Linked DNA regions of Drosophila melanogaster. The protein of the gene in region 1 purifies or fractionates together with the protein of each later gene. This does not show direct contact. Each region holds a gene or a part of one and is shown on either strand. Other genes may lie near its edges.

Region 1 (7,680 bases):
GCACGAGTGAATTTACGTGCGTTAAATTTAAACGAAAATTTAAAAAAATATTTCGAGATATTGCAACAAAGGCAGTATTAAATCGATTTCTGGTGCATGTGCTTGTGTGCAGAATGTTTGCATGTGTTTGTTGCAAATGTAAGAAGAAGTAGCCACTCACGCGCTACTCTCTTCCTTTCTCTCTCTCTCCGCCCCCTCCCCATTAGCTCTACAAGCAGCTGAAAGTTGTAGCCGCACTACATTCAAAAGTTTCCAAAAGTCTGCTTGCTGGCAGTAGTAAGAAATAAAGACTTAAAAACAAAAACATCACTTAGTAATATCAGGTATGTATAGAAAAATAAAAGTGCGCGCTCTTGTGAGCATGTCGAGTGTTTGTGTGTGTGTGTGTGTGTGAGTGAGTGGGTGCACAGAATAAGTTCGTACCTAACCTCAATTTCCCCCAACTGATTACGCTAGGCGGCACCACAACTTCCAGTGGTATTAATCATTTTAAAATAATGCATTTGCTGCCTTTTTCCTATTAAATATTTTCCTTGGGGGATAGGATATTAAGTTTTCAAGCTGAATCTTGGATTAAAATTTTGCGGTTGTGTATATTTATGGAAATTGCTCTTATCGCCGTTTTGTATATGTACATTAAAAACAAGGTTCCGCCATCTGTTGGCACGTGTACTTGTGTGGCTGAACATATTTAATTATCTTTGCTTTGATAAAATAAACTTAAAAAAAAAGAAAGAAGTGCCTCAGAAAATAAATAAAAATAAGAAAGCAAGGTATTGAGAACAGCAACAACAATGACGCAGTCACGCACACCACGAAGGCAATAAAGCAGCTATGTGTGTGGCTGTCTGAAAGAGGCAGAGCGCGTTTGCCGCGCTCACCTTTTGTTATTGTTGCGTTCAATCGCTCTAGAACTGCCAACTTGTTAGGATGTTGAAATTTTATGCCAGAATAACTTTGTACGCAAAACCATTCTTTTTTCATAGTTATTTCTTGTTTTGTATAAAAAAATGGAAAATTTATTTAATGTGAAAAAGGTTAATAAAAATTATGCAGTCAAAAATAATACAAAAAATACCGCATCAATAAATATTGAAATAATTTTTTTAAACTCAAATTTCGCTTTTAAAATCAGTTGGCAGCTCAATGTACCCTTTTGGTGCTCGCGTATGTGTGATTGTGCACAAGGTGAGCGAGACAGCAGTTTCAGCCTTCAATTTGCGGGTTTACGTTGATTCTAATTAAATAATTCGTTGAAATCGGGCTCACTGCTTCTGTGAGGTCCAATTGTAATGCACACACACAAACACGTTCTCAGTGCTTTCCTCAAATTTTCTTTGTGAAGCGCCTCAAGTTTCGACTGGCTTTTAAGTCTGGTTTGGTTTTGGCTGTTTGAAAACTTGAAAAACAAGTTACTTCTGAACTCAAACTCCCCAGTTTTGGCAGTCTCTCCACACTTCTCTCGATCTTTCTCCCGAGAAAAAAAAAACACTTGCCGCGTCGCCAACCAATTGTTTGCAATTCGCAATTGTATTTTAGCCAGAGGCCAACGAACAAGTCTCTTGAACTTGATGGTCGGAACGAAGTTGAAGTGTATTAGACGTTGAACACTTTTACACATATTTAGTTGTAACTTTTTCAAGCCTTCATCATTATATTATTAAAACTTGAGTGTTAAACTGTATGTTTAAATATACTATGTTATCATTTCAATAAGTATTGAATTAGTAAACAACACTGAAGCCGTTGTGTTCAATCGTGTAAGCCTATTCCCAAATTTATAATCGTTATTTTAATTTAAAAACCTTTTAATTGCTCTTAATTTTGATCCAACACGCATTTTGGCTCACCGGTAAATTTGTGTATAATCTTTTACATAAAGAAGAGGGTTCTCTAATCCTTAAATGGATTTATAGTTTTGATGAGAATTAATACTAAAGTTAAATATTTTATAGTAAAGTTTTCCATTTACTGTGTTGTCAATTTTTTAGGACAAACAAACAATAAATAACAAAAAGTTTTTATCACATTAAATATCATGTGACTCAAGAGAGTTAAAAACATCTGATAATTTGCAGAACACGTACGAATATCAAACTAATTAGTTTTTTTTATAGAAATGGGTCCGTGTGACAGGAACCTCTTTACCACATTTCAGATATCACTTGATCAGCGTCAGTTAATATTTCCTAGTGCCGCATTCCATGACAGATCTGAAATTAGCACAGGAATAATTAGAACATGCTAGACCACCTGGCTTTATTATCAATAGAAAAAAGCATCAATAATACCCAATGGGAGGGCAAACAAACCTTCCTGCGGCGCCTGGAAGTCGGAGAGTTTGGTTTGTGCCATTTTTTTGTTTGGTCCAGGGACTTTGGTGCACCTCGGACATGCGCTGCACCCAGTAGCTAGTTAGTTGCATGTGAACTTTGAACTTTCGAGCTGGAAAGTGGAAGGCGGATTTGCATTTCCTATCGCTGCAGGTGTCTCACAAAGAGAGAGGCTCTCTCGTATCCTCCGCCCCCGCTGCATTTTTTTCATTGCGCAATGAGCGAGACGAATCGATAACTGCAAGGTTTCCATGTTTTAGCAGCTCAACTTTTGCGCGTATACAGATTTTTTGTCTGTATTATTTTATTTTGTGAAGGAGCTGGCCGCCGAATTCAGTTCGATTCGAGATGGGAACATGTGTTTTTATGGTTCCGCCATTGTCATGGTGAGATGCACTTGCTTTTTTTTGTCTTCATATTTTTACTTCCTCTCTCCGCACGCACGCGTCTGTGTGTGAGTGCGCTGGCGAGTGAGGTGGTGGAGGAGTACATGAGTGTGTAAAGTGTAGCCGTGGCAGAGTTGTAGCTCGCTAGTGGTCCGTTTGGTTTCTGATTTTCGGTTTCGTCGATTTCACATATGTACTGCAATGGTCGGCTAAAACGCTCTGCCGACGTCGCTATCTGCTGTATACTCGTTGCGCTTGTGTGGGTGCGCTGCTCTCACACCCGCTCTCTCTCTTTGGCTCAAACAGGGTGTCTTACCCAGATGTTCTGATCATCGTTTCCACCACATGGCTGGGTGACAATGGTACACCCTGTTTTCTAAACAACTTGTTTTCTCTCTTCCCAGCGTTGTTGTTGGTCCTCGCACTTACGTAAGCCTCACGTATTTCGTTTCTTATCCAAATTCTAAGCGCCATTTTGCGACTATTTGCATGCGGTACCGCTCACCGCTAATAAAAATAACCACTGATTGTGATTATTTGCTAATAGGTAATGAATGGTATATAAACTATTTTTGCCGTCAGCTACTGATGTGTTTTCAACGCGCTCGACGGAGGATTTTAGTTGTTGCGCCGTTGAGTTGCCACCCTGTTTTAGCTGCGGCAGCAGAATAAAATGAATTCCAAAGCAACACTGCGCGCGCGCTCTCACGCTCTCCGTTTTACACTCATTTCGCTCTCTCTGCTGACTCCAAATGACTGGCCGTCGCGTTTCGCTGTTTTAATCGAAAATGTTTGCGGCGGCGTTGAGATGTACGAAAACGTTCTCTCGCCAAAAATTTGTGAATAGAATAGCAGTAGCAATCTATCGAGAAGAAAATGTCTTAAATTCGAGCCGTGTGATCTAGTTAAGGTCTTAGAGCCAAGTGCAAATTGATTGAAATAAGCGTTAAACTTAAACTGAACTGGAGAACGAAGCCCCAGCTACTGAAAGAAAAGAAAACGGTGAAAATAAAGATTTCGGTGTGCCAGTGAGTGCGAATATAGTAGTTGCATGTGCAAAATACTGCGTAAAACGTGAAAGTTTCCAATAACACCACAAAACCAACGGCAGTTTTGTAGTAAATATACATACGCGCCCCGTACATATATACATACATTTCGAATATACATACACACAGCCGAATATCAACCGACGAAGCTAACTGCTTATTGCTGATGTAAGTGTAATATGGGCGGTGGGCGGTTGTGGGGGGCGTGAAAATTGCAGAGTAGCATTATCCTTCAAGTGCACTTGGAGTGCGGATTCGAGTTCAAACAATATTTTCGTTCGTGCCACTGAAAACTTGTGAAAATACAACATTTTTAGGTTAGGTCAATTTCAATTGGTTTATATACACACGCACGCACAAACTCACACACACACAAACAACAATGGCATAGCGAATACATATAGAAGGCGCACAGACAAAAAGTCGTCGACGGGGACGTGGTTGTTGTTTGTGTTGCTGCTGCTGCTGCCTCTACAGTTTCTGCTCTCCTCACACACAGTTGAACACAGTTGTGGAGAGGAGAGCCACACTCATACATACGCTTTGAACCATTGCTTTTGGTTCGCTTATGAACTGACTGTATTTTTTCAACGTAGTGTCGTTTTATTTTCGTTGTTGATTCGTTCTTTGCTCAGTTCGTGCGCTTATCTTGACTTTTGCTTTGATGCGCCATTCGCATGTACTGGCGAGAGCAGCCTAGTGTGAGTGTGCATTTAAATGGCTCCCCAATGAGAGCATCATTTTGTGGCCCTCTTTTTGTTCAGATCTTCCTTTTGCTCCTCTTCTTCATGCTCCCCAGCCCATCCGTCGTTTGTTGTTCTTGCTCCGCCTGTTTTTTTTCATTCGGTTTTGAATTTACACAAAACGTTTGCCGTTGCTTCTTCATGCTGAAATAGTATATATGTATGTGAATATATTGTACATATTTCTCTACACATCCATATGTTTTATTTGCAAAATTTATTAATAGCGCAGCGCCACTCCGCGGCTGTGTTAGTGCGCCAGAGTGAGAAAGTAACAGTAAAAAACTAAATATTAATTCGCGTTGATTCCGATTCGTATTGCAGTTGTTCAAAACCGAGTGCTAGTGATATTTGCAAAAAATTTAACATATTTTCCGCTGGCTGCCTTTTGTGTTGCGTATTCTGCTGTGCTGTGTATACACATAACAAAACAGATAAGATAACATTATACGTGTGCACGTAATAGAGCGGGCTGAATCAAAAAAAAAAAAAAAGAAAAAATGGAGGGAAAATTTGCCCACATGTCTCCCCAAAGCACACACACGCACACAACGCCCCAATTTGGAGCCTCTCTCGTCAAACACTCACACACACCAGCAAGCGAGTAAATGTGTTTGGTATGCACTAATGGCGGATCCAAAAATACAATAACAACAAAGACAGTTGGGAGAGCTCAAAAGAGCGAACTTGTTTTACCTTCATTTATTAAAGGATAGTTGGTGGTGGCAGAGACAGGAGAGAGAACGAGGGCTAAAGCTTTTGTGCGGCTGTACTGTGCTCCAATATTTGTTTACAAATGCTAAAAGGGGGCAGCTGTTGGTTCGATGGGGTGTTTCAATTAGTTGGAGCAGGATGATCCTCTAGGCGGTTTCCATTCACCTAATATTTGCTCGCGGTCTTTGGTTTGCGCAGCGTTGCGCTCTCTTCATTTTTGCCGCTCTCTCTCTCGAATGCCCGCCAAATGCTTGCTGTGTCCGTGTGTGAGTTTGGCCCCAAACGGGTGAAATACCTTTTTGAAAAAAAAAAAATCATCCATATACTGCGCCTCAACAACAAATGCGGCTCTCTCTGGTTCTCTCTGTGGCTGCACCACCACCACCGTATCGCCACCACCACCTTTGCATTGTTGCGTTTGCTGCTGCTGTTACCTCTGACTCTTCTTCTTCTTATTCTTGTAAGTTGTAGATACAGAACATGTACCAGCAGCTCTCACACACCACCCGCCCGCCCCCTTGGCGGTATCGATATATAAATATTTTCTATGTGTGCGTCTGAATTCTATGCAAGCCGATGTCGTGCATGGGGCATTTGGCACCTTCCACATTCACAAATACTGATATGTACACACATACACACACACTCGGAGGTGTACACAGAAAGCTCGCTTAGGAAGTTTTTACTGTACCGCTGAAAGCAATAACAAAGCGCGCGCCCAATTCCGGTTGAACGTACACACACTAAAGTGAATTACGCGCTCCTCCTTATGCCTTGCACTCACTCTCCTCCAAGACTCAACTTCCACTCCACGATCTCCTTCCCGTCTATATGTATCAATCTCTGGTTGCTGTTGTTGTTATTGGTCACAGCTCCACTGCTTCATTCCATTCCTATTGTCCCTCATCTCACTCTTCTCCCCCGAATCCAGAACACCCAATACAGAGACACCGTTCTCCACTCTGTAGTTTTTGTGATACGGCTAAAAGAAGAATTCCCCCGTGGCTTTTTAGTTCACCTTTTTTCTTGTTGAAATATGCAATCGTTCCGATATCTGTGAAGATATAGACCGAATTGATCAATCAGCTGTGCTATACTAGCTAACATGTTTTGGGAAAATTAGCAAGACTCGTGGTCTTTAATATATGGAAAAGTATATTTGGCATATTTGTCCTTTCATTTCAGTGTCAGTGAATAAATTCTAGTATTAATGTGTAAGATTGTTCCAGTAATGCAGAATTTAATGATGACTAACTTCATTAAAAATAGACCCAAACCTAATTCTTGGGGGTTTTTATACATTTAATGTCGACATTATTGTATGACCGTTTCCCTTCTCTTGCTTTGCTTGCAGTGATATTCAGAAAGAACTCCAAACGCTACGTGGCAGAGGCGAATCACCGGCGCAGCAACACCAGCAGCAGATAACCAGCCGTCAGTCCAATTTCTCTACCTTAGAACTCGAGCGCATTTGCCGCTTGCGGGGCGACCAAATGCATAGACAACATATGTCGCATTCACGAGCAGTCCAAGATCAAGAGTTGCGACCCCGACCGTTTGTTGCATATTACATACGCTCATAGAGGGCGGCCACTCACCTAGAGCAGCCAGAGTCCTTGCACTTGGGCAGGGATCCAGGGAGCAACAAAGTGCTTAGAAAGAAGAAGCAGCAGCACAGGATTATACGCTCCGCCGAGGACAGAGCAACAAAAAAGATGATGAAACGCACTCGCGTAGACGAGGTGCAATTTGGCACACGACCCGTTCCTCAGACCTCCGGAGGTGTGGGCGTTGGTGTCGTCGGCGTAACTGGAGGTGGGCCAACATCCGGCGGCGGTGGCACTGCTACTGTGGGCGTCAATACGACGGGCGTTACCATTGGTACCGTCGTGCCCAGTGCTCATAACGCCACCATCAGCGGGATCGGTTCCATTCACCATCGCATCCTTACTCCACAGCATGGAGGAGCACAAACCATTGCCTATTTGCCGTCCACCACGCCGACGGCTACGAATTTGAAGACCACAACCTCGATTGTGGATAGCACTACCGCTGGAGGACCAGTAGGAGCAGGAGCACAGGTGGCCGTAGGAGTTGGCTCTGCAGCCGGCGGAGGAGGCGTGGTGGTCTCCACAGGGAGCACGGGAACGCAAACATTACAGTATACAACATGTAAGTAATCTATTTCAAACTCTGATGAAATACGTTTGACATTCAAATGATTTATTTTCTTGATCATATAGCTTATAGTGTGGCTTCGATACAGGCTGGTGGAACTCTGAAAGCCAACACAGCGGATGGCGCGAACACGGTACAGATTCATGTCACAGGAGGAGGAGCTGCAAACAATCCTGCCAGTGCACAGACTGTTTCCAGCAGCTCACAAACGGGCACAATCCGTCAGCGTACAATCAGCGGCACCCAGACAGTGGCCACTGCAGTGGGTAATCTAGCC
Region 2 (6,701 bases), on another chromosome or scaffold:
GTGCGTGCGAGTTGGTAAATATGTATGTGTGCGGGCGACACTACCACCAAAGAAGCTGGCCAAAAATCCATGCATGCGCCCAAAAAGGCAAGTCCAAAAAACAAGCGAAGCGAAAAGGAAACCATAAGCAAGCCCAGCATCCCCATTCCTGTCCATTTCTCTTTCTCAAAGGACTTTCTCCATATGGCCGCTGATGGGAAAAGTATAATGGTTTTGTTTTACCCAAAGAGAATGCCAGCAAAATTATGCACATCTTTTGATTTATAAATTATATTCAAATAGCCAGCAAATGCCCAAGTGAAAACTCATTTTGGTTATACTTTCGATTATATTTACACTTTTTCTTTTAATGATGGCATGATTAACATATTCTTCTGTCTTTCCTAAATATTTCGAAAAATTTATTTAATTTTCTACTACTCCAGCGAAAAGTTCTAGCGATTCTTTTGTTTCTGTGTTGATATTTTTGTTATATTTATGTTTTCTTTTTTTTTTTGGTATTACACGTACATCTACCTTTAAGATAATATGAATATACAGTCGCGAAAAAGTTATTGAAAGTGAATACAAACCACGAAGCTGGAACCAACGTGATCAGCTCTCTAGCGAATATAAAAATAGGGACAACTTAATTTACAGCTTAGTTCAGCGACGTTGACGAACTGGTTTCTCGCGGAATGCATCCTAGTGGGTCTGATTGCCGGGCACTGCGTTGACAACCGCCTGCGTCACGGCTTTCAGAGCAGCCGGAGCAGCAGGTGCAGCTGGTGTCGGAGCAACTGGATCCAGCGACGGGACTGTGGGATTGTGAAAGAAATAGAGCAGAAATCCGGCGGCCAGCACCACATGTGCACTCAGGATTCCAACGATGAGGAACAGCGAGAATTGCGAGTTGCGCAGCGCTGGCGTTAGCACCGCAATCAAAACCGTGCCCGAAAGCAAGGCGGCGGTGATCACCAGGAGCCACTGCAGCAGAGAGATCTGCAAAAGATTGGGGTAAACATGTGGCAATTAGAAGGTAGAAAATATATAAGTTCCTATAAACTATGCATAATGTCTGCTCAGGTGGAAAACTAATGAAGATAGCAAACCAGATTACTGTTTAAAACTTTGAAATATCATTGAATCTGGCATTAAAGTTAGCATGAGATAGTTCAAAAGTTGCAGTAAAATGAGCAGTACAGATATAGTCAAGACACGCAATAAAAATAAGCTAATAGCAAGCATTCAAGCAAAATCTTCTGCCGAATCACAAAATTTATAGAGAATTATCTTACATTGATCACCCAGAGAATGGAGACTGGTATATAAATGGCCAAACTGTATCCATAGATGCACATCAGCGACAAGAGGCTCGGCATGTAGCTGGCCTGCAATAAAAAACCCGAATATGAGCGAGATGGATGGATGGATGGGAATGCCAATGCAACTTACGCTGTCCGTTTCCACGGCATCAGCGGAGTCCACAGGCTTCAGGCTGTACTTGAAGAGGGCCCACAGAACGGCTGGCAAGATATTGGCATACAAGAAGATGGACGTAGCCGCATAGGAGACCAGATGGAAGTTGTAGTGCCATTTGTACGCATCAGTGGCTTGCTGCAAATAGCTGGCAATATTACCACTTATTGCTATGGAAAAGATCTGAAATGCAAATGGAAAGAGTTAGTTCCACTTTTGGAGTTGTTAAAACTTCAAAGCTACCGACCAGGGTGACGGTTATCCAGAAGGGTCCATATAGATCCGGATTCTCGCCGATGTTCATGCGCAGATAGTTGCCAGAGGCCCGTTTGGGTATCATGGAGTTGGCGATTCGCTCGAGCACCATATAGGTGTCCACGTTGAAGAACTGCTGGTAGTACTCGATCGTAAACAGTGATAGTTTCGCACCACCGCCTCCACCGCCGGCGGATCCGTCCAGCGATGAGTTCTGCGGCTGGGAGCCGCCCGAGGATGCAGCTCCGGAGAATCCCTGGGCCGAGGAGGTCATGTCATAGATGAGATCCGCCAGCGGATCGCCGCGTTGACGCTGTGCGTTGGCACCACCACCGCCAACGGAGCCGCCGGAACCAGCAGAGCCACCACCAGAACCACCCGATCCGCCGTGCGTAGGGGAATTGACATTGATTTGGGCCGGGGCACCGCCGCTGTAGTCGCGGAACTGCAACAGGTCATCGGCCATGGGTGTCTCCATTTAGATTTCGGCTCGACTAGATTGGTTTCGTTTTGCTAATTGTAAATATTACACGTATTTTGCACTTGGCCCAAAAAAATATCTGCTGGCAGCGATGGCTTATCGGTTATCGATAGGCGTACGAACATCAGCTGGCGACTGCATTCGTCAGCTAGAGATGGCAGACGGCGGTGGGGCTGAGCAGCCGAAAATGCCTAGATTTGGCTATTTCAAATAAGTCCACAATATTATATGGGAATGAACCATATTTTAAAGATGTATTCCTTTAATCTAAATATCGGAAATTACTTCCATGACCTTCTATTTATAATTTAATTTACGACAGAGTTAATATCATTATTTTTCATCAAACAAAAATATTGTAACATTTTTATATTTAAATAGTTACATGGGTAAATTCCAAATTTATTTTCTCTTATTTTAGTGGTCCAGGTTACTTCAAATTCAATGATACATTAATATTTTAATGTGTTTAACTTAATGAATAATATTTTTCGCAGATTTAGCTATTTTGTAGCCACTCAGCTAGATGCTCCGCTTGCGTTGACCAACACTAAATTGCCCAACACTCTTACGTGCGGTCATACTTTTTTTGATACAGCACACAGTTTAGTGTTTTTCCACAGAGTTTTCCACAGTTTCCACACTCCCCGATTGTCGAAAGCAAACAAAAAAAGATATCGCGCTTATACCGGCGGCCACCTGCAGTCCATTGCCGAATCGGAATACGCCGAGAACAAGGAGAACCGCAAAATCCACTCTGAAATGCCCGTGAAGAATGGCGAATCCGATGGCGAAGGCGACGTTTCTGGCGGAGAATCGGAGCACTCGAATTCCAGCCAGCCACACGACACCTCCGACGAGGAGGAGGCCAACGAATGCGATTCGGATGACTCCTCCGAGTTGGATGCCAGTGAAATAGACCGCCGGCGGGCAGAGCACATCGAGGATTTGCGTAGGAATCAGTACGTACACACTTAACACAAGCCATACTCATCGAGTTTCTTCTTTCCTTGACACAGTGAGCTTGGAGCGCCAATTTAACGAGTTGCGGGAACAGTACTACGTCGAGCGCATCAATCTCATCGAACGACAATTGGCCGAGGTGCGTTCCGGGCGTTCCGAGGAGTTTGTCCAGCCGCAAAAGGAACTGGACAAGAAGTATCGCACCAGGATCGAGGTGGCGGACGTCCTGCGCAAGTACCGACTGCAGAATATCGAGCACAAATACCAGTCCGAGGAACAAGCTGCCGTCCAGCACTTTGAGGTACATAACCAATCTCGATTTTTGGCGCCAAAAATGAGAAGAGCTAATTGGCCACCATATCGTCGCAATTAGATTGGCTTTCGTGTTGATAAGGCACTGGGGGCGACACTGCCAAAGCTAATTACAACACAAAATGTCACTCACTTATAGGCCATATATTAACGATTTAAGACAAATGATGGCTTAACTTAAGCGTAGAAGTAGTTGTTAATGTATCCTCTTGCAACTCACAACTTTTCCGTTGCAGAGCGAGAAACACATGGCATTGGACAATCTGCGCGAGGAGTTCATGGAGCGCATCCGTCGCCTGGAGGAGGATCGCCACAACGTGGACATCTCGTGGGCCGACTGGGGCACCGACAAGCGGCAGAGCAAGGTGCGCGGACCGGGTCGCAAGAAGGCCGTCACCGTCACGGGTCCCTATGTCGTGTACATGCTGCGCGAGGAGGATATCATGGAGGACTGGACGATTATACGCAAGGCCCTCAAGCGATCCTCCTCGTCGGCCACCGCTGCTGGCACAGTTACGCCCACTTCCGGCGTAAGCGTTAGCCTGTCCGGTTTGCCAGCAATGGCAGGAGCTAGCGGATAGCGTTGGGGCGTGGCAGCTGCCGCCTACGCCCACATGACGCGTACCTGACGGCCGCGCCCGAGGAAGCAGCAGCCGTAGACGTTTATGTATCAGTAGTAGCCGTAGCAGAGCCCCCGAACCAGACTTCAAATGCGTTCATCAAAATGGCTAAGCTCCGCCACCCATCCTCACCTCCTTTTCCCGTAGATTTTAGTACGTACGTAGTTTGTACGAGTCCCACTCTCAGAATATTGTGTGTGTGTGTGTGTGTGTGTGTCTCTCCCCTCCCCCATACAGACGATGTATGTAATTTATGCTAAAAGATAAGTGCAAATAAAAGCGAACTGCAGCCAAGTGGGCATGCGTTCAACATAAATTTAATTCGATTGCCTGCGAGTGATTCAATCTCCGGAAGGCCAGCAGTTTTGTTATCCAGACTTGGATACTATGGGTAGGAGGTCACAATGTGGGTAAGCCGCCTTAGGTGAGGCGAGACAGAAGAACACAAATCCCACATGATTTAAATCAACAGAAAAGCTTTTATTGCGGCACAGACGGTTCATTTGTGGACCTTCAGAAGCCCTTCTCCTTGAGATAGTCACGCAGGACGTCCACGTGGTCACCATGGAAGTGTATCTGACCGCTCAGCTCATTGATTCTCGTGGCGCAGACCTTGCCGTTTCGCGACTGCTCCACCACCGCACGCAGATCCTTTTCCAGCGTCCAAATGTCTCCTTGGACGCGTCGCACCACCGTGATCCGGCGCTGGCCACGGAACCTGGTGTGCAGATACACGGGCACCATGTGATTCTTCGTCCTGGCCACATGGTAACCCAGTTCTGAGCCATCCTCCTTTTGTGGCTGCCAGCCGGATGGATATTTTGGCTTCTCCACCGGCTGTGGTACTGTCTTCGCTGGTAGCAAGCGCTCCACAAAACGCCACTCGGGCGGATTGGCCACCACCTCCACTTCAGGATACTTGTCCAGCTCCTGAACTTCGCGGGATGAACGAAAACTGGACATAAGTGCCGGTTGCATGTGTATTTGCCTGGTAAGCTGCGTGAAATAAAAACAGATTTTAGGTGATTTTTTACTGGAATCCTTTGGTTTATCTGCTCACCTGGCTTAGCTTTTGGCAGAGGCCGCTGCCTAGCATCAGTTTGGCGCTTGTTGCCATGTTTTTTGGCTAAAAACTAACAGATTTCCCAAGAAATACAAAAAATAGTTGTTACATATGCACTGGCTGGTTAGTGATGCGCAAATGGTAGCGATAATTGTTTCGATTACTTAACTTGGCTAGAAGCTATCGACTTCGTTTTGTACAAAGCACCGATTTTCAAGCTAAAAAATATTTAAAAATGTAAATAGTCAAAAAATTAGGTGCAATGACAACAGTCAAATATTTAATTAGTTAATTAATTAACATCAGGTTAAATTTGATTTTATTTCGAAACATGGCTTAAATGGCCTATTGCTTAGCGAATTTATCTACTTTTTTCTAAAACTGAGGAAAATTAATCATTTCCGCCCAGTTTTTAGTAAATTTAATTAAATAAACACTATATTATATGATCATGCATTAAACGATCTTGGAATTTAGCTGCACGTACACCATTCAGCTTAATTTCTACAAGCTCAAACATTTTAGCCTAATTTGCGTTTTGTCTTTGATTGCTTTTGTCTTCATCACTTTAGCATCGCATGCAACAAATGCAGCGTGTGACGTCATCGCCAAAGCTTTAATCACACACGCACACACACAGAAGCGCCTGCACACACACAAGCGTTGCAAGTGCGGCATTTGAATTGCTTAGCTTATACAATTTTATTGCAGCTGTTGTTCGCCGTTGAGTTTTTCGATATGCGGTAATCGCGGAGTCATCGGGGTATATCGAAATAGTCGCAAAGTTGTCGATATAATTTTAGTAACCGTTGAAATGTGCAAAAAATACAATTAAAGAGAAATAAACACTTCGATTACGATCACCTTGAGTTTATAGGATTAGTAAATAGTATGAAAAATTGTGTGATCTTTTGATTATCTTTGGGAAATTTCATTATTCGGCGAATAAATATCAATATAAATATATTATTTCTGGTTAGTGTATATAGATGCTGCTCTGTACACCTTTACATTCGATTTATTCAGATGTGCTCCATTGCAATATCCTGCTAATTATGTTTCAGTGTAGATCTTGCTGCCTTTCAGCGGTGTAGGGTATTCGCTGTTCGTGAGACTCAGCGATTGCCACTTGTTGTTGCTGCTGTTTTGTGCCAGCATAAAGTGTTTGCGCTGCAGCTTTTGTTGCTATTTGCTATTTGCAGTTTGCAATTTGCAATTTGCGCGCAGTTTTGGTTGCGCGTTTGCTGCGAGCAGTTGCACTTGCACTTGCAATTCTATTGCCGCGCCCCCTCCCCTTTTTTTCTGTGTCGCCCCCTTTGTTTTGTTTTGCCTCTTTTCGTTCGCGCCCCCCGCCATCTGCACCGTCTGCAGAGCAGCGCTCCTGGAATAACTGCATGTGCGATTCACCGTTCTAGTTGGCGGCGTGCGTGCGTGTGCGAGCGAGCGAGACAGACAGAGGCATGTGCTGGGTCGCAATGGCGCGCAAGGACGATCCCGTTTTCAATGTGCGGTTCGTGCAGTTCGTGGAGAATCAGCCGTGCCTGTGGAA

The links. Proteins that work in one complex are often made in the same cells at the same time.
Region 2: the proteins of Sin3A (region 1) and Brms1 purify together in Drosophila melanogaster (affinity purification with mass spectrometry, with the first as the bait; 2 studies listed by BioGRID). This does not show direct contact.

The regions. Positions count from the first base shown.
Region 1 is NT_033778.4:12,584,972-12,592,651, reverse strand, and holds the start of Sin3A (Sin3A), read left to right. Parts: upstream 1-3,499; 5' UTR 3,500-3,936; intron 3,937-6,579; 5' UTR 6,580-6,940; coding exon 6,941-7,397; intron 7,398-7,468; coding exon 7,469-7,680.
Region 2 is NC_004354.4:12,905,693-12,912,393, reverse strand, and holds Brms1 (BRMS1 transcriptional repressor), read left to right. Parts: upstream 1-2,771; 5' UTR 2,772-2,956; coding exon 2,957-3,146; intron 3,147-3,213; coding exon 3,214-3,458; intron 3,459-3,705; coding exon 3,706-4,050; 3' UTR 4,051-4,408; downstream 4,409-6,701. Other genes in the region: CG4645 (uncharacterized protein), read right to left, coding at 685-981, 1,278-1,370, 1,435-1,641, 1,706-2,191; mRpL49 (mitochondrial ribosomal protein L49), read right to left, coding at 4,603-5,085, 5,150-5,206; CG4404 (uncharacterized protein), read left to right, coding at 6,613-6,701.